Linked DNA regions of Macaca mulatta. The protein of the gene in region 1 purifies or fractionates together with the protein of each later gene. This does not show direct contact. Links are inferred from orthologs where the notes say so. Each region holds a gene or a part of one and is shown in the gene's direction. Other genes may lie near its edges.

Evidence for each region. The genes of interacting proteins can lie anywhere in the genome.
Region 2: the proteins of SKI (region 1) and SIN3A purify together in Homo sapiens (affinity purification with western blotting; 3 studies listed by BioGRID and IntAct, with this or other methods). This does not show direct contact. The link is inferred for Macaca mulatta from reciprocal best matches to the Homo sapiens genes SKI and SIN3A.
Region 3: the proteins of SKI (region 1) and RMND5A purify together in Homo sapiens (affinity purification with mass spectrometry; 3 studies listed by BioGRID and IntAct, counting the BioPlex papers as one, with this or other methods). This does not show direct contact. The link is inferred for Macaca mulatta from reciprocal best matches to the Homo sapiens genes SKI and RMND5A.
Region 4: the proteins of SKI (region 1) and HDAC3 purify together in Homo sapiens (affinity purification with western blotting; 4 studies listed by BioGRID and IntAct, with this or other methods). This does not show direct contact. The link is inferred for Macaca mulatta from reciprocal best matches to the Homo sapiens genes SKI and HDAC3.

The regions. Positions count from the first base shown.
Region 1 is NC_133406.1:238,450,271-238,456,429, reverse strand, and holds the start of SKI (ski oncogene), read left to right. Parts: upstream 1-2,702; 5' UTR 2,703-2,966; coding exon 2,967-3,935; intron 3,936-6,159. UniProt on the Homo sapiens protein: May play a role in terminal differentiation of skeletal muscle cells but not in the determination of cells to the myogenic lineage. Functions as a repressor of TGF-beta signaling.
Region 2 is NC_133412.1:53,435,563-53,441,127, reverse strand, and holds part of SIN3A (paired amphipathic helix protein Sin3a), read left to right. Parts: intron 1-2,079; coding exon 2,080-2,318; intron 2,319-3,548; coding exon 3,549-3,732; intron 3,733-5,565. UniProt on the Homo sapiens protein: Acts as a transcriptional repressor. Corepressor for REST. Interacts with MXI1 to repress MYC responsive genes and antagonize MYC oncogenic activities. Also interacts with MXD1-MAX heterodimers to repress transcription by tethering SIN3A to DNA.
Region 3 is NC_133418.1:26,268,592-26,274,156, reverse strand, and holds part of RMND5A (E3 ubiquitin-protein transferase RMND5A), read left to right. Parts: intron 1-1,132; coding exon 1,133-1,299; intron 1,300-2,282; coding exon 2,283-2,448; intron 2,449-5,565.
Region 4 is NC_133411.1:150,470,449-150,476,013, reverse strand, and holds part of HDAC3 (histone deacetylase 3), read left to right. Parts: intron 1-1,404; coding exon 1,405-1,486; intron 1,487-1,613; coding exon 1,614-1,670; intron 1,671-1,790; coding exon 1,791-1,846; intron 1,847-2,222; coding exon 2,223-2,356; intron 2,357-2,882; coding exon 2,883-2,963; intron 2,964-3,335; coding exon 3,336-3,409; intron 3,410-3,564; coding exon 3,565-3,629; intron 3,630-5,479; coding exon 5,480-5,565. UniProt on the Homo sapiens protein: Histone deacetylase that catalyzes the deacetylation of lysine residues on the N-terminal part of the core histones (H2A, H2B, H3 and H4), and some other non-histone substrates.

The DNA.
Region 1 (6,159 bases):
GGTTGTTTTTTTTTTGAGACGGAGTCTTACTCTGTCGCCCAGGCTGGAGTGCAGTGGCGCGATCTCGGCTCACTGCAAGCTCTGCCTCCCGGGCTTACCCCATTCTCCTGCCTCAGCCTCCCAAGTAGCTGGGACTACAGGCGCTGCTACCACGACCTGCTAATTTTTTGTATTTTTAGTAGGGACGGGGTTTCACCGTGTTAGCCAGGATGGTCTCAATCTCCTGACCTCCTGATCTGCCTGCCTTGGCCTCCCAAAGTGCTGGGATTACACGGGTAAGCCACAGTGCCTGGCCTTTTTTTTTTTTTTAGAGACAGGGTCTGTCTCAAAAAAAGGGTGTGTCCCTGTCACCCAGGAGGGAGTGCAGTGGCTCAAGGACAGCTCCCTGCAGCCCCAACCTTCTGGGCTCAAGCAATCTTCCCACCTCAGCTTCCCAAGTAGCTGAGACCACAGGTGCAGGCCACCATGCCCGGCTAATTAAAAAAAATATATATTTTTTTGGTAGACGGGGTCTCACTATATTTCCCAGGTTAGTCTTGAACCCCTGGGCTCAAGCAATGAGCCTGCCTCATCCTCCCAAAGTGGTGGGATTACAGGCGTGAGCCACCCTGCCGGGTTAAATATCCCTTTTAAGGAAATGATCTTCTTACCCAGCTTTCTGATGTGTGAACGCACAGAGAGGCCTGGCCTCCAATTGTGGGGGCCAACAGAGTCAATGGGAAGAGTCGGGGGACAGCGTGGAGTGTGATGACAAGGAGACAAACCCCAAGGCAGCGGAGAGAGGGAGTATGGAGCTGCCCTGGGGTCACCTGCTGGGGGTCACCTGCTGGTAGGTCCTGGCTCCCTCTCCAGACACCTGCCCTGCCGCAGGTCGGGCCAAGACCTGCACAGGGGCGCTGGGCCGGCTCCCCCAGGGTAGGAACTGCGCCCAGGCGTGCTGGTTTGAGGCTGGTTCCAGCCTCCACTGGGGAAGTGAGGGGCAGGAGGTCCCAGCTAAAGGTCACTCACATTGCAGTACCCAGGCCAGCTTGGGCACCCCTGGCCCGTCGGGAATGTCTCTCCACCTCAGGTGAGCACAGTCCGAGCCCTCAGCCCCGCGACCATTGCGTCCCCGCGCCCGCACGCCTCGCTGGACGCTGCCTCCCCTGGAGACCACCTGGCCGACTGTCCAACTTCGGGGCCCCGGGCTTCCCGCTTCCCGCCCTGCCATGGCTTGGGTCTCTCCCACTGCGTGGCCAGGCGTGGAGGGCCGACCTGGCCCCGAAAGCCGTCTCAGCGCTCCGAGGCCCTGGGGCGGAGGGCAAGGGTCTCGCCGGCCTGCCCGCCGGGACCCGCGGGACCGAAATTCTGATAAGCCACCTGGCCGGGGTGGCTGGCAAACCGGCCGCGTCGGGGGCACCCGACGCCGCCCCTCTCAGGCCCGAAACCCCTGGCCCGCGCATCAGGGACAGTCCGCCCGGGGCCGTCGGGCGGGGCGGGGCTGGCGCGGGCGGGAGCCGCGGACACTCGGCCACCGGGCCACGGGGCAGCGGGGGCCGCTGGGCTGCGCCGCCAGGGTCACGCGGCGCGGCGCCTGTCTCGGCGCGGGGTCCCTGGGCGTGGCCGCTGTCCCCCTCGTGTGTGGTGACCCCCAGGTCACCGTGTGGCGTCCCGGTAGTGTGTGGGACCCCAGAGGCGTCCGGGGCCTCCCCGCTGTGTGGCGTCCCACCCTGGGAGAACCCCGGCTGCGTGGCGTGGCCCCCCGGCCTCCCCCAGCTGGTTTGCGGTCGTGGCGGGGGCCTGTGGGTTTCTGGGCCCCGGCGGCGGCGAGACGGGCGCCTTCCCAGCCGCGCAGGAAGCGGCCTCGGCCGGAAGGGGGGCCCCGGGCGCCACCGCCGCCTCCGCCTCCGCCCGCGCCGAGCGGCCTTCGACGGGCGGGGCCGAGCGGGGCCGAGCGGAGTCGAGCATGGCCGAGCGGAGCCGAGTCCTGGCCGAGAGTAGCCGAGTCGTGGCAGGGCGGGTCCGAGCGTGGCCGAGTCCCGGGCGAGCGGAGCCGAGCGCGGCCGAGTCCGGGCGGGGAGCGCGCGTTCCTGGAAGAGCCCGACTGGGGAGCGGGTCACATTCTTGGCCAGCGCTCGGGCTGAGGCGGACGCACGGCAACAAACAGCGCGGGGGGCGGGGCCGGCGCGGGGCGGAGCAGGCGGCGCGGGGCGGGGCGGCGCGGCGGCGGCGTGAGCTCAGCGCCGGGCGCTCAGTCCGAGCCGGAGCGAGCCGCCGGGAGGATGTGCGCCGAGCGCCCCGAGCCCCGCGCCGCCGCCGCGCTCTGAGGGCCGCGGGCGAGAGGCGCCTCCGCCGCCCCGGAAGCCGGGCGGGCGGGCCGCGGAGCCGGCGGGCGGGCGGGCCGGGGGCCGGCGGCGGGCGCGACGCGGCCGGCCAGCGCCGCCGGGACGAGCCGGGCGGGCGCCGCGCGGTGGGAGGAGCGGGGCGGCGGCGGCGCGCCGCGCGAGGACGGCCCGGCGGGCCCCGCGCCCGCGCCCCCGCTCCTCCCGGGCCCCTCGGCCTCGGCCGCCGCGGCGATTCGCGCCTCGCGGCGCCGGCACCTGCCCGCGCGCCCCCCGCGAGCCCCGGGCCCGCGAGCGTTGGCGTTGGCGTTGGCGGCGCGCGCCGGGGCATGCCCCGCGCCTAGAGCCCGGGGGGCGCGCGGGGGACGCGCGGGGGGCCCGGGCGGCGGCGGGCGCGGCGCGGGGCGCGTGGATGTGGCGCCGGGCCCGGGCGGCGGCGGGCTCCAGCGGCGGGACCCCTTCGCCCCGCCCGCCTTCCCCTTCGCGCCCCCGGGCGAGGCCGCGGCCGTGATCGGCCGTGAGCCGGCGGCGGGGGGCGGCCGGGGTCGGGGCCGCGGGCGCCGCCGGGGCGCGCGGGGCGGCGGCGGGGGCCGGGGGGGCCCGGGCGCGCGGGAGCGGGAGCGGCCGGGGGAGACGGAGCGCACCATGGAGGCGGCGGCAGGCGGCCGCGGCTGCTTCCAGCCGCACCCGGGGCTGCAGAAGACGCTGGAGCAGTTCCACCTGAGCTCTATGAGCTCGCTGGGCGGCCCGGCCGCCTTCTCGGCGCGCTGGGCGCAGGAGGCCTACAAGAAGGAGAGCGCCAAGGAGGCGGGCGCGGCCGCGGTGCCGGCGCCGGTGCCCGCAGCCACCGAGCCGCCGCCCGTGCTGCACCTGCCCGCCATCCAGCCGCCGCCGCCCGTGCTGCCCGGTCCCTTCTTCATGCCGTCCGATCGCTCCACTGAGCGCTGCGAGACCGTGCTAGAAGGCGAGACCATCTCGTGCTTCGTGGTGGGAGGCGAGAAGCGTCTGTGTCTGCCGCAGATCCTCAACTCGGTGCTGCGCGACTTCTCGCTGCAGCAGATCAACTCGGTGTGCGACGAGCTCCACATCTACTGCTCGCGCTGCACGGCCGACCAGCTGGAGATCCTCAAAGTCATGGGCATCCTGCCCTTCTCGGCGCCCTCGTGCGGGCTCATCACCAAGACGGACGCCGAGCGCCTGTGCAACGCGCTGCTCTACGGCGGCGCCTACCCGCCGCCCTGCAAGAAGGAGCTGGCCGCCAGCCTGGCGCTGGGCCTGGAGCTCAGCGAGCGCAGCGTCCGCGTGTACCACGAGTGCTTCGGCAAGTGTAAGGGGCTGCTGGTGCCGGAGCTCTACAGCAGCCCGAGCGCCGCCTGCATCCAGTGCCTGGACTGCCGCCTCATGTACCCGCCGCACAAGTTCGTGGTGCACTCGCACAAGGCCCTGGAGAACCGGACCTGCCACTGGGGCTTCGACTCGGCCAACTGGCGGGCCTACATCCTGCTGAGCCAGGACTACACGGGCAAGGAGGAGCAGGCGCGCCTCGGTCGCTGCCTGGACGACGTGAAGGAGAAGTTCGACTACGGCAACAAGTACAAGCGGCGGGTGCCCCGGGTGAGTGGCCCCAGGCCTGGGAGCAGGGGTGGATGTGCTTGCGGTGGGGGACCCTTCTGGGCCACAGGCTCTGGTCTCCAAAGGCTGGGACCTGTGTTTCTGCCGTGCCCCATGTGTCAAGTCTTTGCTTTGTTTTAGGGAAATTCAGAGTGTTCCCCTTGGCAGGGCCAGAGGGTTTAGTAGGAAGGCCCTCCTGCCCTTTCCCCCAGGAGGAGCCTGGAGTGGGGGCTGTGTCGGTGGGGTGGGGGCTAGGCCTGGTGTGTGGGGAAGGCCCACAGGCCCATAGCCTTTGCCCAGATAGGATAGGAAGGCACAGGCCTCCTATGCTCCCGGGAAAGCGGCCTGCTCCGAGGTCAGGGAAGTTAGCTCCAGTTGGGCCCCAGCCGGATGCCTCAGGCCCAGGTCTTCCTTGGGGTTGGGGTGGAGGTGACTGCCCTCACCCCGAAGGCACCCAGCCTCGAAGACGGAGGGCTGCCTGCCCTTGGGCCCCAGGAGACAGAGCTTGGGCGAGACGAGGCCTGGTTTTGTTACTGGCTCCCGGTCCATGTTTGTTGCCTTGAAGTTTTGGGACAGAGACACAAAATGAAGCCAGGTGTTCAGGCTGCAGCGACAGGGGCCTGAGACTGGGCGGCTCCAGCACTGTGCTGGTTGGTCTCCCTGGGCCTGCCAGGGACCAAATCCCAGAGTGCCCCGTGTGGGGTGAGGGCCACTTGGCACCCGGCTGAGGGCCTGGTCAGCAGGCCCCTGGGCCCACATGCTGGAGTTACTGGCGGCTTGGGATTTGGACTCACCCATTTCCTTCTCTCCTTCTGAAACGCAGAGGGGTGCGCCGGGGAGGGAGGCCGCTGGCCTGGCTTTGTAGTTTGCCAGTTGGAGGATCTACGGGATCCGGCATGGGCAGCTCCCAGGCCACGAGGCGCCGAAATTACTCAGTGGGGTCCTCAGGAACTTTCCGTTGCATACCTCCCCAAGTATGTGTAACTTTTCTTTTAAATATCCAGGCTTATTAAATTGCACACACAGAATGCTGCATTGGCTCAGCTATTCTTGGGAGGCCTAATTAATTCAGCTATTGCATCAAACTTTTTTTTTCTGAATCTGTGAATAGATGCTCCAGCCCGGTTTTCTCTGGGCGCCCCTCCAGCAGAGTGTCAGATCGTGGGGAGGAGGGGCTGTGGATGGAAGCGAGGGACTGTCGCCTCTGCGTGGAGGGGGCTGCGGAGGGTGCATGTGCGTGTGCCTGTGTGTGTGCGTGTGTGTGTGCAGGGGTGCTTCTGACCCTGCCAGGCCAGGGCTCAGGTGGCAGCTGCCTGCAGACCTGTGGGCTGGGGACGGATGCTCGTGGCAGAGCTGCAGACAGACCTCACAGGCTGGGACCCTTCATGTCACATGGGGAGTTGGCTGGGGTGGGTCCGATGGCGCTCCCTGTGGGCTGGGGTCTTTCTTTTTGGGGTGGCCGCACCCTCGTCAGTGCCTATGGCTGGGGGAAGCCACGTGTCGCTGGGGTGGTTGGTGGGCTCGGGCAGGCTGCATAGTGGGTCACCTGTGGCCAAGGCCTGAGCTGCTGGGACACACTCATCACTGTCTCCAGAGCTGACGGCAGAGGATCTCGGCTGAGCAGGGTGTGTCTGCGTTTGTTTTTGTCCGACTGTGGGTCATGTATGTGCTTGCAGTCTTTCTGTCTTCCTGGGTTTTGTTGGGGGGCCATTGGAGTGGCCAGCAGGGCCTCTTCGTCACAGCTGACACAGAGCAGGGCCCAGGCCACCGGCTTCTCCCTCCCGGCGGTTGTGAGCGCCGGGGTCCTTGGGCCGCCATGGAGACGGGCCAGACAAGCTTTCCCCCTGGTCATCTCAGCGGATGGCTCCAAGTTGCCTTTCCCTTTTGAAGTCCTCCCTAGCACAGCTCTGAAATCTCATCTATTGATTAAAAAGGAATTCCCAAGCCATACTGACGACGTTTACGGTGTGAGTGACTGGGTCCTCCAGGCCTGAGTGGCAGCCACAGCCTGGCCCTGGCAGTGGTGGCCTCCGCCTGGCTCCCTGCATGTTCACCAGCTCCTGCGGGCTTTCCTCTCCTCATGCTCCTGGGGGTGGGCACCCATCCTGCCCGTGTCGTCTCCTGCTCTGTGTTCTTGACGTGGGGTGGCAGCCAGGGACTCTGCCCTCGCTCAGTGCGTGCCCCCAGGCTCTGTGACTGTGTGGTTGGGAGTTCTGGGCTGCAGGAT
Region 2 (5,565 bases), on another chromosome or scaffold:
TTATTTTGAAGTAGTTAGGAAGGAAAGAGTGGAGTGAATAAATGAGGTGGTAGAGGGCCCCATACCACCTGTATCAGGAGGGGGACTACTGAAAGTGGGCTCAAAATCCCCAATGTGTTTATATGTCTGGTTTACATTATCATTTTAAAAAAGGGAAGTCTGGTTTGTCTAAAGAGGTAAAATGACATGTATCCTATTTAGTGTATCTATTACATTAAATTGACTGGCTGTGCTTATTTGTATGGATAGGTATCTTGTTTTTTTTTTTTTTTTTTTTTTTTTAAGTACTCTTTTAGCTCTTTGCCAGCTTTCCATCCTCACACTTGCTTCAGCTGTTTCTGGTGTGTTTTTAATTAAGAGCCACATGCTGCCTGGCCACTGGCAGGTGGTAGGCCATCTTTGCCCCAGCATTTATAAGTAGTGCACCTGTTTGCAGAAAACTAAATCATGACAGATGTTAACTTCCATAGGGAGTGCTATCAAGCTAAAGAAGACATTTCAGCCGGGCGCGGTGGCTCACGCTTGTAATCCCAGCACTTTGGGAGGCCGAGGCGGGCGGATCACGAGGTCAGGAGATTGAGACCACGGTGAAACCCCGTCTCTACTAAAAATACAAAAAATTAGCCGGGCGCGGTGGCGGGTGCCTATAGTCCCAGCTACTCAGGAGGCTGAGGCAGGAGAATGGCGTGAACCCGGGAGGCGGAGCTTGCAGTGAGCCAAGATTGCGCCACTGCACTCCAGCCTGGGCTACAGAGCGAGATCTGTCTCAAAAAAAAAAAACCAAGCATTTCTTTGTTACTTATGTTTAGTAAGGTTAGCTGATGAGTTAGCAGAGCTTGGCATCTGTTTTTGACAGAATGTTCCTATCCCCTCTCAACTGGTATGCTTCCAAATGAGAGGCAACTTCATTTCCCATTTATGACTACAAGGGCAAAGATGAAAGAAGTGGGGTAAGCATGTGTTTAAGATTTGGTGGGATGAGCGAGTTTGAAGGAACATGTTTACCAATTAAGATAGGTTAGTAATGCTTCAGTACAGACAGCTCCCACATCTGAGTGACTTGTAAAGCCAATGGGTTTAATTTCTAATCATTCTACATGTACATTGATGTTTAGCAGGGGATTTGGCATATCAGAATCACTTGGGGATTCAGGCCAAGGGATTGCCACCATTATGATTGTTGCTAGTCACTAGGAGGAAAAGAGATCTCAGAAGGATCTCACACCTTTAAATGCTCCAGCCTAGAAGTGATAAACATTACTTCTTCTCAACTCATAACAACTCATTTGTCAGAACTAGTTACATGACCCTATCCAATCATAAGGGAGTCAGGAAGTTAGTCCATTTTTTGTCGGTAATTGGAGAGCAAGAGGGGCCAGAAGTATTGACAAAATGATGACCACATTTCCAAAACAAGAAAATTTAGGGAACACTTCTGCAAACATTTGGTTGTAGACTGTTCATTTAGGAGTCCAATAAGAATTTAAATCATTACCCGCAGATACAACAGTGAACTCCTTAGGGTATGATAGTCACTGCTCTTATTATTACTGGATGTGGAACAAGGCTATTGAGTATTTTAGTATTTGAATATATTTAAATATTTCAAGTTAAAAAAAAAACTCTCAAGACAGAGCCGTCTTTTGGTATTGTTTTGATTGTTATTGTTTGTTCATAACGGATCTTAGCAATTCAGGAAAGTTCAGGGAAAAGTATCAGTAAAGTCATCTCTTGTTAGGTTCCTCCGGTCTAAGATCAGTAGTCTTAAGCAAAGCACACGGTGCAGGTGGTGGTGGTGATAACTACCGTTTATCCAGCTTCATCCTGTGGTTCTTATGTGCCAGGTATTGTGCTGAATACTTTATGTGGATTGTATAATTTAATCCAGAAATAGGCTTGTGAGAGTAATAGGTGCTGTTATCCCTATTTTGCTGATAAAGAAACAGTCTTATGTAGCTAGTAGGGCAGAACCAGGATTCAAATCCAAGGAGTTTGACTCCCTACCTTATTTTTCTAATCACTACTCTATTCTATTCTGATTTGGGTCCTGAGCATACCCTTCTTTGTCTTCCTCTTCAGCTTGATGTAGTTTTAGAGACCAATCTGGCAACAATCCGGGTTCTGGAAGCAATACAGAAGAAGCTTTCCCGCTTGTCTGCTGAGGAACAAGCCAAATTTCGCTTGGACAACACCCTTGGGGGCACATCAGAAGTCATCCATAGAAAAGCACTCCAGAGGATATATGCTGATAAAGCAGCTGACATCATTGATGGTCTGAGAAAGAATCCCTCCATTGCTGTTCCGATTGTCCTTAAAAGGTACCTGAGCAAATGTGCCCTTAGTGCTTTAGTGTGTACTTCATTACTGGTTCAGTGTCCCATTAAATAAGTCTCTCATTTTCAACCTGGTTGTCCCATGAGACCTCTCTTTCTCCCCAACCCTGGGGGAGTATTTTAAAATACAGAAAAGAAGATAATTACCACCCATGTTCCTGCCACGCTCAGGACTAACTGTTGTTAACATCTTTGTGGTTTTTTTGTTTGTTTGTTTGTTTGAGACAAGATCTCTCTCTTTCACCCAGGCTGGAGTGCAGTAGTAAGAACACAGCTTACTGCAGCCGCAACTTCCCAGGCTCAGGTGATCCTCCCACCTCAGCCTCCTGAATAGCTGGGACTACAGGAGTACACCACCACACCCAGCTAATTTTTATTTTATTTTTTTTTAATAGAGATAAGGTCTTGCTATGTTTCCCAGGCTGGCCTCTAACTCCTGGGCTCAAGCAGTCCTCCTGCCTTGGCCTCCTCAAAGTGCTAGCATTACAGGCACCAGCCACACCATGCCCAGCCCCATGTCATTATTGACCACACTGTAAATCCTTTGTTAGGAGCTTGGTTCTCTCAGTATCATCTGGTAAAAACTAATTCTTAGTTGCTGCACAGTTCACAAATACCCAGATTTTATTTGTCCTCCCTCATCTTCCCCTCAAGAGCTGGCACAGATTGATGGTTTCTTCTTCTTGCCTGTAGTATTTAACTTCTGGCTTTTGAAATATAGGTTATTCTTCAGTTTTAGTGCTGTTTTTTTGTCTTAGCCTGTTCTCTTCTGGTTTATTAGAATCAGTTCTGATCAGAACTTTCCAGACTGTATCCAGAGGAACATAACTGTGCAAGTTCTCTGCTCTTGGACTTCTGTGTTTCTATTAGCATTGTGAACATTTTACAAAGTCCTACAGCAGAGAAACAAGAACTCTTTTTGCAAGGAATACTTACATCTCAAAGGTATTCCCTGGAATGCTGTTTGATAAGTAACCATTCTAGGTAAATTATTTGACTTTGAGATAACTCATTTCCCCAAAATAAGTCTTAGATAAGTAATTTCCTCATGAAACAGAGTTCAAGACTGGTTTGATAACATCCCAAGTTGCCAATAATTTTGACAGACCTAATATAGCTTTGACTTTTCTTGAAAGAAAGTAAACCTGGCAAATTTCTTTCTTCTAAACCCTCTGAATTCCCATATGTTGTTTCCATCCCTTCCCACTTCACTAGGTTGAAGATGAAAGAGGAAGAATGGCGAGAAGCTCAGCGAGGCTTTAACAAAGTATGGCGAGAACAAAATGAGAAATACTACTTGAAGTCTCTGGACCACCAGGGGATCAACTTTAAACAGAATGACACAAAGGTCCTGAGGTCTAAGAGCTTACTCAATGAGATTGAGAGTATCTATGATGAGGTGAGCTGGGGTTTTCTACATCTGTGAGAGGACTCTAGTCTATGTTTAGCACAGCTTTGATTTCTGGAAATTACCTTTGTTAAATGCAGGTGAGACTCTCTAAGACCTGTTGATTCCTGCTTTATAGCTGTCATAGCCTTTTCTATTCCTCATTCTACTATTTTAAATCTAAACTTTACCTTTATACCTAAGCTGTTTGACTAGTTCCCTAGTTTACTATCCTGGTTTCAACTTATACCTCCTGCCTCCATTTTCCACTTCTCCCACTGCCTGTTTCCCTCAAACAATACCTTGTATTCATATAGTCCCATCTCTCCTTACTATAGCTTCAAAACTTGTCATTGACCACCAAACTCTTTGTAATCCTTGCTTATTCAGCATGCCTACTAGAACTATAAATAGTACTAGGAGCTAGGATCAGAGATGAATAAGCAATCAATTCTGGTTTCCATGGGCTCAGTTTTAGCAGATGGATAGAAACATAAATGCAGTGCAATTGGGAATTCCTGGAGTGGGGTGATCCTGAATTTTAAAAATAGTAAAATGAGCTCTTAGGTGAACTCAATCAGGCCGGGGACAGTGGCTCACACCTGTAATCACAGCACTTTGGGAGGCCGTGGCGGGCGGATCACCTGAGGTCAGGAGTTAAGAGACCAGCCCTGCCAACATGATGAAACCCCGTCTCTACTAAAAATACAAAAATTAGCCGGGCATGGTGGTTGCACCTGTAGTCCCAGCTACTTGGTAGACTGAGGTGGGAGAATGTCTTGAACCCGGGAGGCAGAGGATGCAGTGAGCTGAGAGCATGCCACTGCACTGTAGTCTGGGTGACAGAGCAAGACTCTGTCTCAAAATCAATAAAATAAATAAACTTAATCCTCCATATTTTGCTGATGTTACTTTGTCACCCTCCGTACCCCCACCCCAGAAGTAAATTACAGACCTCATATCATATCCTCTATATAAATACTAGTCCAGAATTTTGAAAGATAGTCCCACGGGGCACAGTGGCTTCCGCCTATAATCCCATCACTTTGGGAGGCTGAGGTGGGCAGATCACTTGAGGCCAGGAGTTCGAAACCAGCCTGGGGACATGGTGAAACCTCATCTCTAACAAAAATACAAAAATTAGCCTGGCATGGTGGCACACTTCTGTAATCCCAGCTACGCAGGAGGCTGAAGCATGAGAATGGCTTGAACCCGAGAGATGGAGGTTATAGTGAACCAGGATTGTTCCACTGCACTCCAGCCTAAGTGACAGAGCGAGACCCTGTCAAAAAAAAAAAAAAGAAAAAGAAAGATGGCTCCAGTTCTGTCCCACTCGCCCTGTAAGTCATTGATGTATAGAAGGTACCTGTATTTTGACATCAAACCACATCTCCGTCATTACCTATTTGTTTCTGGAAGAGGGACAAAATTATTGTTACGGTTTGGCCCTAAGTTTTGTTTTTGTTTTTTGTTTGGAGACAGAGTCTCACTCTGTTGCCCAGGCTGGAGTGCAGCAGTACGATCTCGGCTCACTGCAACTTTTGCCTCATGAGTTCAAGTGATTCTCCTGCCTTAGCATCCCGAAGGCTGGGATTACAGGCACCCACCACCATGTTCAGCTAATTTTGTTATTTTTAGTAGAGATGGGGTTTCACCATGTTGGCCAGGCTAATCTCAAACTCCTGACCTCAAGTGATCGCCCTCCTCGGCCTACCAAAGTGCTGGGATTATAGGTGTAAGCCACCGCTCCCAACCCCAGGTCCTAAGTTTTTTATTAGAAAAACATAGACACTGTAGTTGATAATGGGATGTATGGCTGGTGTGGTCTCGTAGGCATGTTGTCGC
Region 3 (5,565 bases), on another chromosome or scaffold:
AAGATGTGAATACATCAGCAAGTTAATTAGAATGTTTATCTGCATGTGCAGCCCTTTCTGGGAAGGTTAGGACCCGGTAAAAGTGCAGCTCTGTGAAGTCCAATCCCAATCAGCAAATTCATTATAAATAACTTGAAAGGTTTTACTCTTGTAGTTGGTGGAGTTACTCAGATTTTATATTCTTACCCAGTTCAGATTCCAGTGGTCTTTGGTGAATTGGGTTAAGTGAGGAGTATTTGTCTTAACTGATGGTCAAATTAAATAATATAATGCTAACAGCTTCTATATGTTAATATATTTAGAGAAATAAAGTAATGTTTCCTTATTCCCTTATCGCAAAATTTGATTTTAACAGCTAACTATATATTTTCCTGCCTTTGCCCTCACCTGACCTGGTAGTACCAGTTCAAGATTGATTATTCCAACTGTTTGTTCTGTAGAAGCCTGAGGTGCTGTATTTTTGGCTCAGTTAAAATAGAATCTTGTTTTTTCCCTTACTAGAACTATGTTTGTACAAATCATTTTGCACAGTAAGATTTACTGTATGATATTTGTCTAGCTTTATCTTCCTGATCAGACTGAAAGCACCTTAGGGGGAAATAACGGTATTTACTGTTTTTAATCCCAAAGTGAATAACACAAAATCTTGCAACTATTGAAAGTTTAAAAGTATAGTTGCCTTTCAGGATCTTTGATTCATGCTTGTATATATCAGGCCAGTTTTACAGGAAAAGGGCAGTGGATCTAGGCAATCTAATTGTGAATCTCACGGCTGACACCGCTTCAAAGTGTGGTCCTGTGCAAGTTCAGATGCATCATGTGACACATCAGAGTCATTCTAGTGATTGTCATCTGCTTTAATGCTTTTTTCTTTCACTGGCTGAAGGGCCTCTGCAGGTGTAGTTATTGGTGGTTACTTTCCTGACAAAAGTCTGGGCCCTAGGGATTGATGTTACCATAGACTTCCACAAGATGGCAGACCAAGCCCCTTTTTTGTTTTACTGCGTTTTGTTTTACTGCGTTACAGGTACTGCGTTGTTAAACTGTTTGTTTACTGCGTTTCAAATAGTTTTTAAGACACATTGCTTATGCTTTTGATTATTCTTAAAGTTTTTTTTTGCCTTTTCTTTAGGTGGGCAGTATCAAACCGGGAAATGCTTATAGCTCAAAACAGCTCCTTGGAATTTAAGCTACACAGACTGTACTTTATTAGCTTGTTAATGGGTGGAACCACAAATCAACGAGAGGCATTACAGTATGCTAAAAATTTTCAGCCATTTGCCCTGAATCATCAAAAAGGTGAGTCTGGAGTCAGATGTTATTAATGTTTGAAACAGGGCTATAGCCACCACTATAACTTAACGGTTCTTATTTGTTTGTTTTGTTTTTTGTTTTTGTTTTTTGTTTTTGAGACGCAGTCTCGCTCTGTCCCCGAGGCTGGAGTGCCGTGGCGCGATCTCGGCTCACTGCAAGCTCCACCTCCCGGGTTCACGCCATTCTCCTGCCTCAGCCTCCCGAGTAGCTGGGACTATAGGTGCCCGCCACCATGCCTGGCTAATTTTTTGTATTTTTAGTAGAGATGGGGTTTCACTGTGTCAGCCAGGATGGTCTGGATCTCCTGACCTCATGATCCACCCGCCTCAGCCTCCCAAAGTGCTGTGATTACAGGCGTGAGTCGCCGCGCCCAGCCCAACTTAATGGTTCTTATCTAGAGCTAATACATGTTTGCCAGTAAACAGTTGTAGTTGATAATCACAGGAAAAGCTCTGACTGGCTCTAGAACAAAAACAAAAATATTAAAGCCTCTTAGAAGTCAGAGATGTTGCAGATTTTGGAATTCCATATTAAACTGAGAGGAGATCTGAGAAAGAGCAAGGTGTGCACTTGCTCTCGTCTACCCCAACCTGGCTGTGTGCTGCTTGTTTTGCCACAACAAAGTGTCAGAGAGCCAAGGCAGCAAATGTTAACCCCACGTATTTGTGTAGGAATACATTAACTCTGCAATCAGAGATAATGTGATGACATAATTGTTACTCCTGTAGGTAATGGTAATTATACTATGCTGTATATAAGAATTTAAATTATAAGTTCAGTATTTTCACTCCTTTCCTTTTCTCTCCATGCTGTTTAAGATGAAGGAAGAAACCCAGCTTAAGGACCAGAATTTTAAAGACCTGTTAATACATTATTTTAGGCTGTATCAGTATGGGTGGGGGTATTCTTGCTTTTCGCAGCTTATTACTGCAAGCAAACTAATGCTTTCTTGCTGGTACTTTTTTTAGACATTCAGGTTTTGATGGGAAGCCTTGTGTACCTGAGACAAGGGATTGAGAACTCACCGTATGTTCACCTACTTGATGCAAACCAGTGGGCTGATATCTGTGACATCTTTACACGGGATGCTTGTGCCCTCCTGGGGCTCTCCGTGGAGTCCCCTCTCAGTGTCAGGTATGGAAATTGGCCCTGTCTGTTATTGAAGTATGCACTGCATTAGTCACCTCCCCTTAACTTGTTTGGTTCTTGATATTTAAAGCCAAAAGAACTTTTGTCTTTCTGAAGAAGAGTGCAATTGGTATTTCAAAAGATATCACAATTGGCAGTAACTCTGTTTTAGAGAAGCAGTTTTGAAAGTGTGGTGTGTGAACCTCACAGGATCCTGAGAGCCTTTTCCACTGTATTGATATTAGTACAGATGGTCCAGAAACAGTGGTGGATTAAACTGCTAGAGCCTTTACACAAGTCGGGGCGGTGGTACAAATTCCACAGATACTTGCTGGATTCCTCACCACCACACCCTTGCAGTTTAAGAAATGCTAGTTTTACTTAACCACACCTGTAATCCCAGCATTTTGGGAGGCCAAGGAGGGCAGATCACGAGGTCAGGAGTTCAAGACCAGCCTGACCAATAGAGTGAAACCCTGTCTCTACTAAAAACACAAAAAATTCGCCAGACGTGGTGGTAGGTGCCTTTAATCCCAGCTAGTTGGGAGACCGAGGCAGAAGAATTGCTTGAACCCAGGAGGTGGAGGTTGCTGTGAGCCGAGATTGCGCCATTGCATTCCAACCCATGCAACAGTGCGAGACTGTGTCTCAATTAAAAGAAAGAAAGAAAGAAAGAATATTCTCGACCTGGTGTGGTAGCTCACATCTGTAATTCCAGCACTTTGGGAGGCTGAGGTGGAGGGAATCTCTTGAGGCCAGGAATTAGAGACCCACCTGGGCAACACAGCTAGACTCTATTTCTCCAAAATGCTTTTTAAAAAACGGATGTTCTTGATGAAACATTAAAATTATTAGTTTTATTACATCTTGACTTTTCGGTACACATCATCTTAATAATTTGACAAAATAGGAAATCCACATAAAGCACTTCAGTTTCTTGTCGAAGTATGGTAATTTTCTTGAGAAAAAGCATATTGTTTTGAGTTATAAGCTAGCTAGTCACTTTTTATCATGGAATACTTTTTTTGTTTCTTGTTTTTTTTCTTTTGTTCGTTTGTTTTTTTTTGAGACGGAGTCCCCTGGCTGGAGTGCAGTGGTGCAGTCTCAGCTCACTACAGCCTCCACCTCTTGGGTTCAAGCAATTGTCCTGCCTCAGCCTCTGGAGTAGCTGGGATTACAGGTACCTGCCACCATGCCCAACTAATTTTTGTATTTTTAGTAGAGACGAGGTTTCATCATGTTGGCCAGGCTGGTCTCGAATTCCTGACCTCAGGCGATCCACCGCCTCGGCCTCGGCCTCCCAAGGTACTGGGATTACAGGTGTGAGCCACCACACCAGCCATGGAATAGGTTTTACTTGAAAGAATCATTAACACAGTTACCCACACTCAGGTCTTTGGCAGTCTTTTTTTTTTTTTTTTTTTTTTTAATCTTTTTTCTTAAATTTTTCAGAGACAGAGTCTTGCTGTGTTGTTCAGGTTGGACTCAAACTCCTGGGCTCAAGTGATTCTTCTGCCTCAGGCTCCTGAGTAGCTGGGACTACAGTTGTGTGCCACATCACCCAGCCATGTTTTTAAGTGAATGAAGCAAGCCTGTCACATTTGAAAGGTCTTAAGTATGATCCTACAAAAGCATGCATGAGTAAAAGAGTCATTCAAAGTACAAGACAGACAAATGGATTTTAATGTAGCAGGGTACAAAAAGTTTAATGGTAAAGTTTCAGATTTTGCTCTGCAACCAACCTTTAGAAAACTACTACCAGTTTTGGCCAGAACTGAAAAGTCAGTTTTGGTGTGGTATTGAGGAGGAGTTTCCACAGTGATCCAAAGCGATCAAAGTAGTGCTACACATATGTGTGAAACAAGGTTTTTTTTTTTCATTTATCTCAACCAGAAGAACATACCACAATAGATGTAATGCAGAGTAAGCTATAATAATCTAGCTGTCTTCTGTCAAGGTAGGCATTCAGGAGATTTGTAAAAGTGTGAAACAGTGCCACTCTTCTCACAAATATATTTTTGTTTTGGAAACTAGTTTTTTTTTTTTTTTTTACAAGAATGTTGTTTTTAATAATGGCATGGTATTTTATTTTTACATGGACTAATCGCAACTTTTATGTTTCTCGTTTTAATTTCTAATGCATTAAAGATATAACCCACAAAAAGAAAAGCTCTTTGAGATCCTTAATATTTAAGCATATAAAGGGGTCCTGAAACCAAAACATTTTAAGAACCTGTTTTAAGAAAATAACTTAATTCCACAAATGTTTTGTATATTTGCTATGTGCGAGGCACTGTGGGCACTGTGTTGGATATAAGATGAATAAGGTGTATTCCGCAGGGTTCTCCATCCTAGCATAGGAGCAGACAGATGCAATTAGCTATAATGTGAGGCATTGTTGCCGTCAGTCTGTCTGAGGAAGACTCTGAAGTGGGAATGTACATGCAGAAAGTTTATTGACATCAGCACCTGTGGGAGAATGAAAACAGCAGGATTGGGCAGAGAGGAAAGTTGGACTGTGTTAGAGTGGCAACAAGGTCTCTCCCATTCCTGAGGAACTCTGGAGCTGCTATGGGCCTGTGGAGTTGTCCCAAATTGGGCCTACAGGGCTGGGCTTTTGTACCCTCACATGGAGCAACTTGCTGGATATGACTCTGGTCAGATGACTCTTTTCAACTGAGGATAGTCCTGAAGAGACAGACACAGCTGAGAGTTGGCTGCCAACACTTCCAGATCTGAGAAATGAGTGCTTCTACCCTGGACAGGGGTGATCTGGGGATAAGAGGAACTATGCAAAAAAATGTTTCAGGAGCAAGCATGTCATTTGACTGATAAGCTGAGCCCATTAAACTTTTTTTTTTTTTTTTTTGCTATTTTGTGCAATATAAAACCTTTTTTGGCATTAATGTAAGATTATTATGAAATTCTTTATGTTTTTTTTTTTTTTTTTGAAACAGGGTCTCATTCTGTTACCCAGGCTGGAGTGCAGTGGCACCATCATGGCTCACTGCAGCCTCAGCCTCCTGGCATCTTCCCACCTCAGCCTGCTCAGTAGCTGGGACTCTAGGCACATGCTACCATACCTGGCTAATGGCTAATTTTTATATATTTTGTAGAGACGGG
Region 4 (5,565 bases), on another chromosome or scaffold:
TTGGCTTCCTTTCCCCTTTCAGCTTCATAATAATTTAAAAATAAATCAGTATTCTATGTTTACATTATTACAACTCTGAAAGATTCATTTACTATCAAGCCAAATAGTGTAGTGTGATTTAATCTATTTTCTTCTAAAGCTTTTTGTTTTTCCTGGAGCTGACAATTGCATTATTTTTTCATTTGCTTAGTTTTCTAGGTATTAATCTCTAATTCTTTCCAAACCTTTCGAGAAACTGTAAAACTCTACAATTCTTGCTTGAACCCAGGAGGCGGAGGCTGCGGTGAGGCCACTGCACCCCAGCCTGGGTGACAAAGCGAGACTCCATCTCAAAAAACAAATAAACGAAAAGCCCCTACAGTTCTGTTTTTCACATGGTCAAATGTGTCAGCTGCACTATTTTTCTTTTTTTTGAGACCTAAAACTAGGGATTGCCTAAGCCTTTCCTCTTTAAAAAGTCAGGTTTATATAGGTATAACTTGCATACAGTAAAATTAACCTTTTTTAGGTGTAAGAGTTCAGAGAGTTTTGATAGAATATATCAAGGTGTAGGGCCAGCGCCGATGGCTCACACCTGTAGTCCCAACACTTTGGAAGGCCAAGGCAGGAGGATCACTTACGCCTAGGAGTTCGAGACCAGCTTGGGCAACATAGTGAGACCCTGTCTCTATTTAAAAAAAAAGTATCAAGGTATAGGAAATTTCCATTACCTGACAAAGGTCACTCACCCTTTTGTAGTTAATATCTTCTCTCCAACCTACATCCAGCCAAGTACTGATCTGATGTCTGTCCTTATATTTTACCTTTTCCAGAATGTTGCATAAATGGAGTCATACAGTAAGTAGCCTTTTGTGTCTGGCTTCAAGCCTTTGCTTTTTATAAAGAATAACAATGGTAATAATTATAACTGACATTTATTAAAGGCTTAGCAGATACCGTATACTGTGCCACAGGCTTTTCGTGGGTTATCTCATCACCGTTTCACATATGTAGGTATACAATTCTTTCTTTAAAATGTGTGACTGTGAAGAATATTATTGAACATTATGTTAAAATGTGTTACACTGAGACTAAGAAAAACAGAGCTCATCTTTTCTTTCAACTGATTTCCTTTTAACATTGTACTTCAGTACCTGGAAGCTGCTTGCTTCTTTCCCCAGCTAGGATACAAATTCCCTGACAGTTAAATGCTTCTTTACTTCCCATCCAGTGCCTTGCACAGGGCTTGGTACATGGTTTGATCCAAAATATTTGTTGAATAAATTTGCAGATAGCACAGGTGTGTAGGAGGGGGAGAGAAGGCTCTTGAAAAATGGAGATTGGAGGAATCTGGGGTGGGGAGGGAGGTATGGGAAGGGCCCAGACAGAGGCAGGAGGGTTCCAACTTATTCCTCTTCCCTGCAGCCCAGTGTTTCCCGGGCTCTTTGAGTTCTGCTCGCGTTACACAGGCGCATCTCTGCAAGGAGCAACCCAGCTGAACAACAAGGTGACATAGTCCCGAGTCCTGTTCCTCCTTTCCTCTAGATCCCTGGACTCGGGATTTAACCCTGATCCTGGGCTCCCAGCTTGAAGGGTGGGCAGGAAGGACTGTGACTTGGGTGTTTGTCTTTCAGATCTGTGATATTGCCATTAACTGGGCTGGTGGTCTGCACCATGCCAAGAAGTTTGAGGTGAGTGAGGAGTTGATGGGAAAGACAGTGGCCATCCTCGGGTAGGTGTTTAGGATGATGGTGGGGGCAGCTGGGTAGGGGAATTGCTCCTCTCTTTATGAGACCACTGTCTTGCCATAGGCCTCTGGCTTCTGCTATGTCAACGACATTGTGATTGGCATCCTGGAGCTGCTCAAGTAAGTAGCCCAGGAGGAGATGGGGGCAGTTATGGGATTCTTGGCTGAGAAGGTCTCTCAGACTCAGCCCTGACCTTGACCTCCCTCCTCCCTGACTAGCTTCTCCCAAGTTCTTGATGCTTTATTCAGGCTGCCTCTTCCACTGCTGCAGATTCCCTGCTGCCTGCTCACATTTCAGCCTTCTCTGCATATCCCTCTTCTGTCCCTGCCTCTAGCCTCTAGCCTGGAGCCCCCAGTTGCCTTTAGGGAACTGGTGATATTAAGTTTCAGGTGACCAGGGCAGAAGCAGACTCTTCACAAAACGAGACCCGGTGTTTGGGAGGAGTGGGTCAGGGGTTCACTTCTAGCTCAGACCCTGGCTTTGGCTTCCCTCCAGGTACCACCCTCGGGTGCTTTACATTGATATTGACATCCACCATGGTGACGGGGTTCAGGAAGCTTTCTACCTCACTGACCGGGTCATGACGGTGTCCTTCCACAAATACGGAAATTACTTCTTCCCTGGCACAGGTATGGGAATAGGGATTACTTTCCCATTTGCACCCTTCAGCTCTTTACTATGAGTGCCTCCTTCTCAGCCTTCTAGTCTCATCTCAGGTGTCCCCTCCTCAGAGAAGCCTTTCCTGACCACCCCAGTTGTCACAATCACCTCCTTCCCCATTCCTCTGTTACATCAGCCTCATTCCCTCAGAACACTCACTGCTATTTATGTTTATTGTGGTTTTTTGTTTTGTTTTGTTTATTGCCTCCCTCCTCATGCCTACTCCCTAAGAATATAAGGTTGGTGGGATATCGTAAATTTCATTAGTTCCGTTCACTGCTGCGTCCCTACTGCCTAGTACACAGTTGGCTCAGAGTAGATCCCCCAAAACTCTTTGCCAAATGAATGCGAGCTGCAGGAGATTTAGTGGCTCTAGGGAGTTTATGGTGAAGCTACATAGATGCAGTGAGAGGCTCCCAGAGTGCAGATTGGGGTTGAAACAGCTGGGCTGTGGGTGCTTCCCATGTGTGGCTACCACCACCCGCTTCCCTATAGGTGACATGTATGAAGTCGGGGCAGAGAGTGGCCGCTACTACTGTCTGAATGTGCCCCTGCGGGATGGCATTGATGACCAGAGTAAGTACTGAAGTCTTCCTTCTGTTCCCTAGGCCCCTTCTTTTTCTCCTTGAAGTAACCTCTTCTGCCTCGTATTGTCTGCTGTTGGGGCCAGGTGTCCTTAAGGATGAAGGGCCTTCAGAGGGACCATGAATCCCTGGGAATTGTATGCAACATATCATGTATATGTGCATTTTTCTGGGAAAAGTCATTGGCTTTCATCAGTCGCCCATAGCAGTCTGGGATCCCTTCCAGAAGTTTCAGACCAATGATTCGGTTCTTTTGGGTTGCCCCTTTCCTGGGCTACATGCTCGCTCAACCCCCTTTTTCCTTTTGTTCCCTGTCTCCCCATCCCCTTGGGGTGCCAGGTGCCCATCTTTGGCCCTCTCCCAGGTTACAAGCACCTTTTCCAGCCGGTTATCAACCAGGTAGTGGACTTCTACCAACCCACGTGCATTGTGCTCCAGGTAATACTGTCAGTTCCTCCTCAGGAGTGTTCTGCCTGGGCTTGGGGAAAGAGGACAAGGGAAGAGGAGGTTCTTTAGGTTGGTGATAGACGGGGTATCTGTGATGTTCTGATCAGTTATCTCACTGCACTTGCCTGGGCTTTTGCTTTTTGCAGTGTGGAGCTGACTCTCTGGGCTGTGATCGATTGGGCTGCTTTAACCTCAGCATCCGAGGGCATGGGTGAGACTTGCTCTCCTTCTTCTCCGCAAGGTTTTCAAGTGGCCTTGGACTTCAGTACGTGGGTGGGGGTAGATGGGGAATGGGCCTCATCTCTTCTTGGAAATCAAAAGTAGCTATAAATTGTACTTGAACTAGAAATGTCATCTTGAACAGAGTTCCCTAGATGGTCATTCATTCACAATATATTTTTATTAAGTACGTATTATGTTCCAGGCATCGTACCACATCATGGGGATGGAATGAGGAGTCTCCTGTGGAGTTCACAGTTTAGGAAACAGACAAAAAATAAATAATCAAATGAAATAGATTGTTATAGATTCTATGAAAGAAAAAAGAAAGCTGAGACACAGGATACAATGGGGGACCTACTTTAGATAGCATGATTTGGAAAAGTTTTTCTGAAGAAGTAAAATTTGAGCTGAGACCTGGAGACTAAGAAGGAGTGAGTCATAAGAGGAGCAGAGAGAAGCCTGTCCCAAGCATTGACAAAGGCCCACAAAAGGCTCTGAGGGCTGGGCCCAATGGCACACACCTATAATCCCAACACTTTGAGAGGCCAAGGTGGGAGAATCGCCTGAGGCTGGGAGTTTGAGGCCAGCCTGGGCAACGTGGCAAGAGCCATCTCTACAGAAAATAAAAAACAAAATCAGCTGGGCATGATGGTGCATGCCTATAGTCCTAGCTACTCAGGAAGCTGAGGCAGGAGGATCACTTGAGCCCAGGAGTTTGAGGTTACAGTGAGCTATGATTATGCCACTGGACTTCAGTCTGGGCAACAGAGTGAGACACTGTTTCTTTAAAAAAAAAAAAAAAAAAAAGGCTGTAGCAGGAATGAGCTGACGAAGTAGAATGCAGGGAGCAGGCTGGAGGTAGTTTGAGGTGAGGTCCAAGAAGCTGGCCATGGTGAGATTGTGCAGAGCCTTTAAACCCTGGTAAGGAGTTTGAATTATATTCCAAACATGATGGGAAACCATTGAAGGATTTTAAGCAGGAAAGTGACATGATCCAATCTGTGTTTGAAAGTGACTATTCTGACTGCTGAATAGAGAAAAGTTTGGATGGGGGAATGGGGATGGAAGTGGGAAGACCAGTTAGGAAGCCATGGTGTTGGTTAGGTGCCCAGACTAAGGTGAAGGAGGTGGCAATGAAGAACAACAGCCACAACCCAGCTATTTCAACACACACACACATATATATGGTTTTTTTTCTTTTTTGAGATGGAGTCTTGCTCTGTCGCCCAGGCTGGGGTGCAGTGGCACGATCTTGGCTCACTGCAAGCTCTGCCACCTGGGTTCTAGCGATTCTCCTGCCTCAGCCTCCTGAGTAGCTGGGACTACAGGCATGCGCCATCATACCTGGCTCTCTCTCTCTATACATATATATATATATATGTATGTATATATATATTTTTTTATTTTTAGTAGAGACTGAGTTTTGCCACGTTGCCCAGGTTGGTCTCAAACTCCTGAGCTCAGGCAATCCGTCTGCTTCGGCCTCTCAAAGTGCTAGGATTACAGGCGTGAGCACTGCACCGGGCATGAGTTATATTTTCAAGGTTAGAATTGACAGAACCTGCATTGATGAGAGTAGTTGGTTAACATGCAGGGTGCCAGGGAGGGTGTTGAGCAGAACAGAGGTGGGACTGTGCTTTATTTTAAAATTTTTATTGAGACACAGCATATAAAGTATATGCAAATCTTAAGGGTATAACATAATGAATTTCACTATGCAGCTAAAGATTTGGAACATTTATAGTTTTCTTGTGCTCCTTTCAGGCAATACCTAAAGGTATTTATTTACCTTGTCTTTTGATAACCTCCTCCGCGTCTTCCTCTGGTTCCTTTTAACAGGGAATGCGTCGAATATGTCAAGAGCTTCAATATCCCTCTACTGGTGCTGGGTGGTGGTGGTTATACTGTCCGAAATGTTGCCCGTT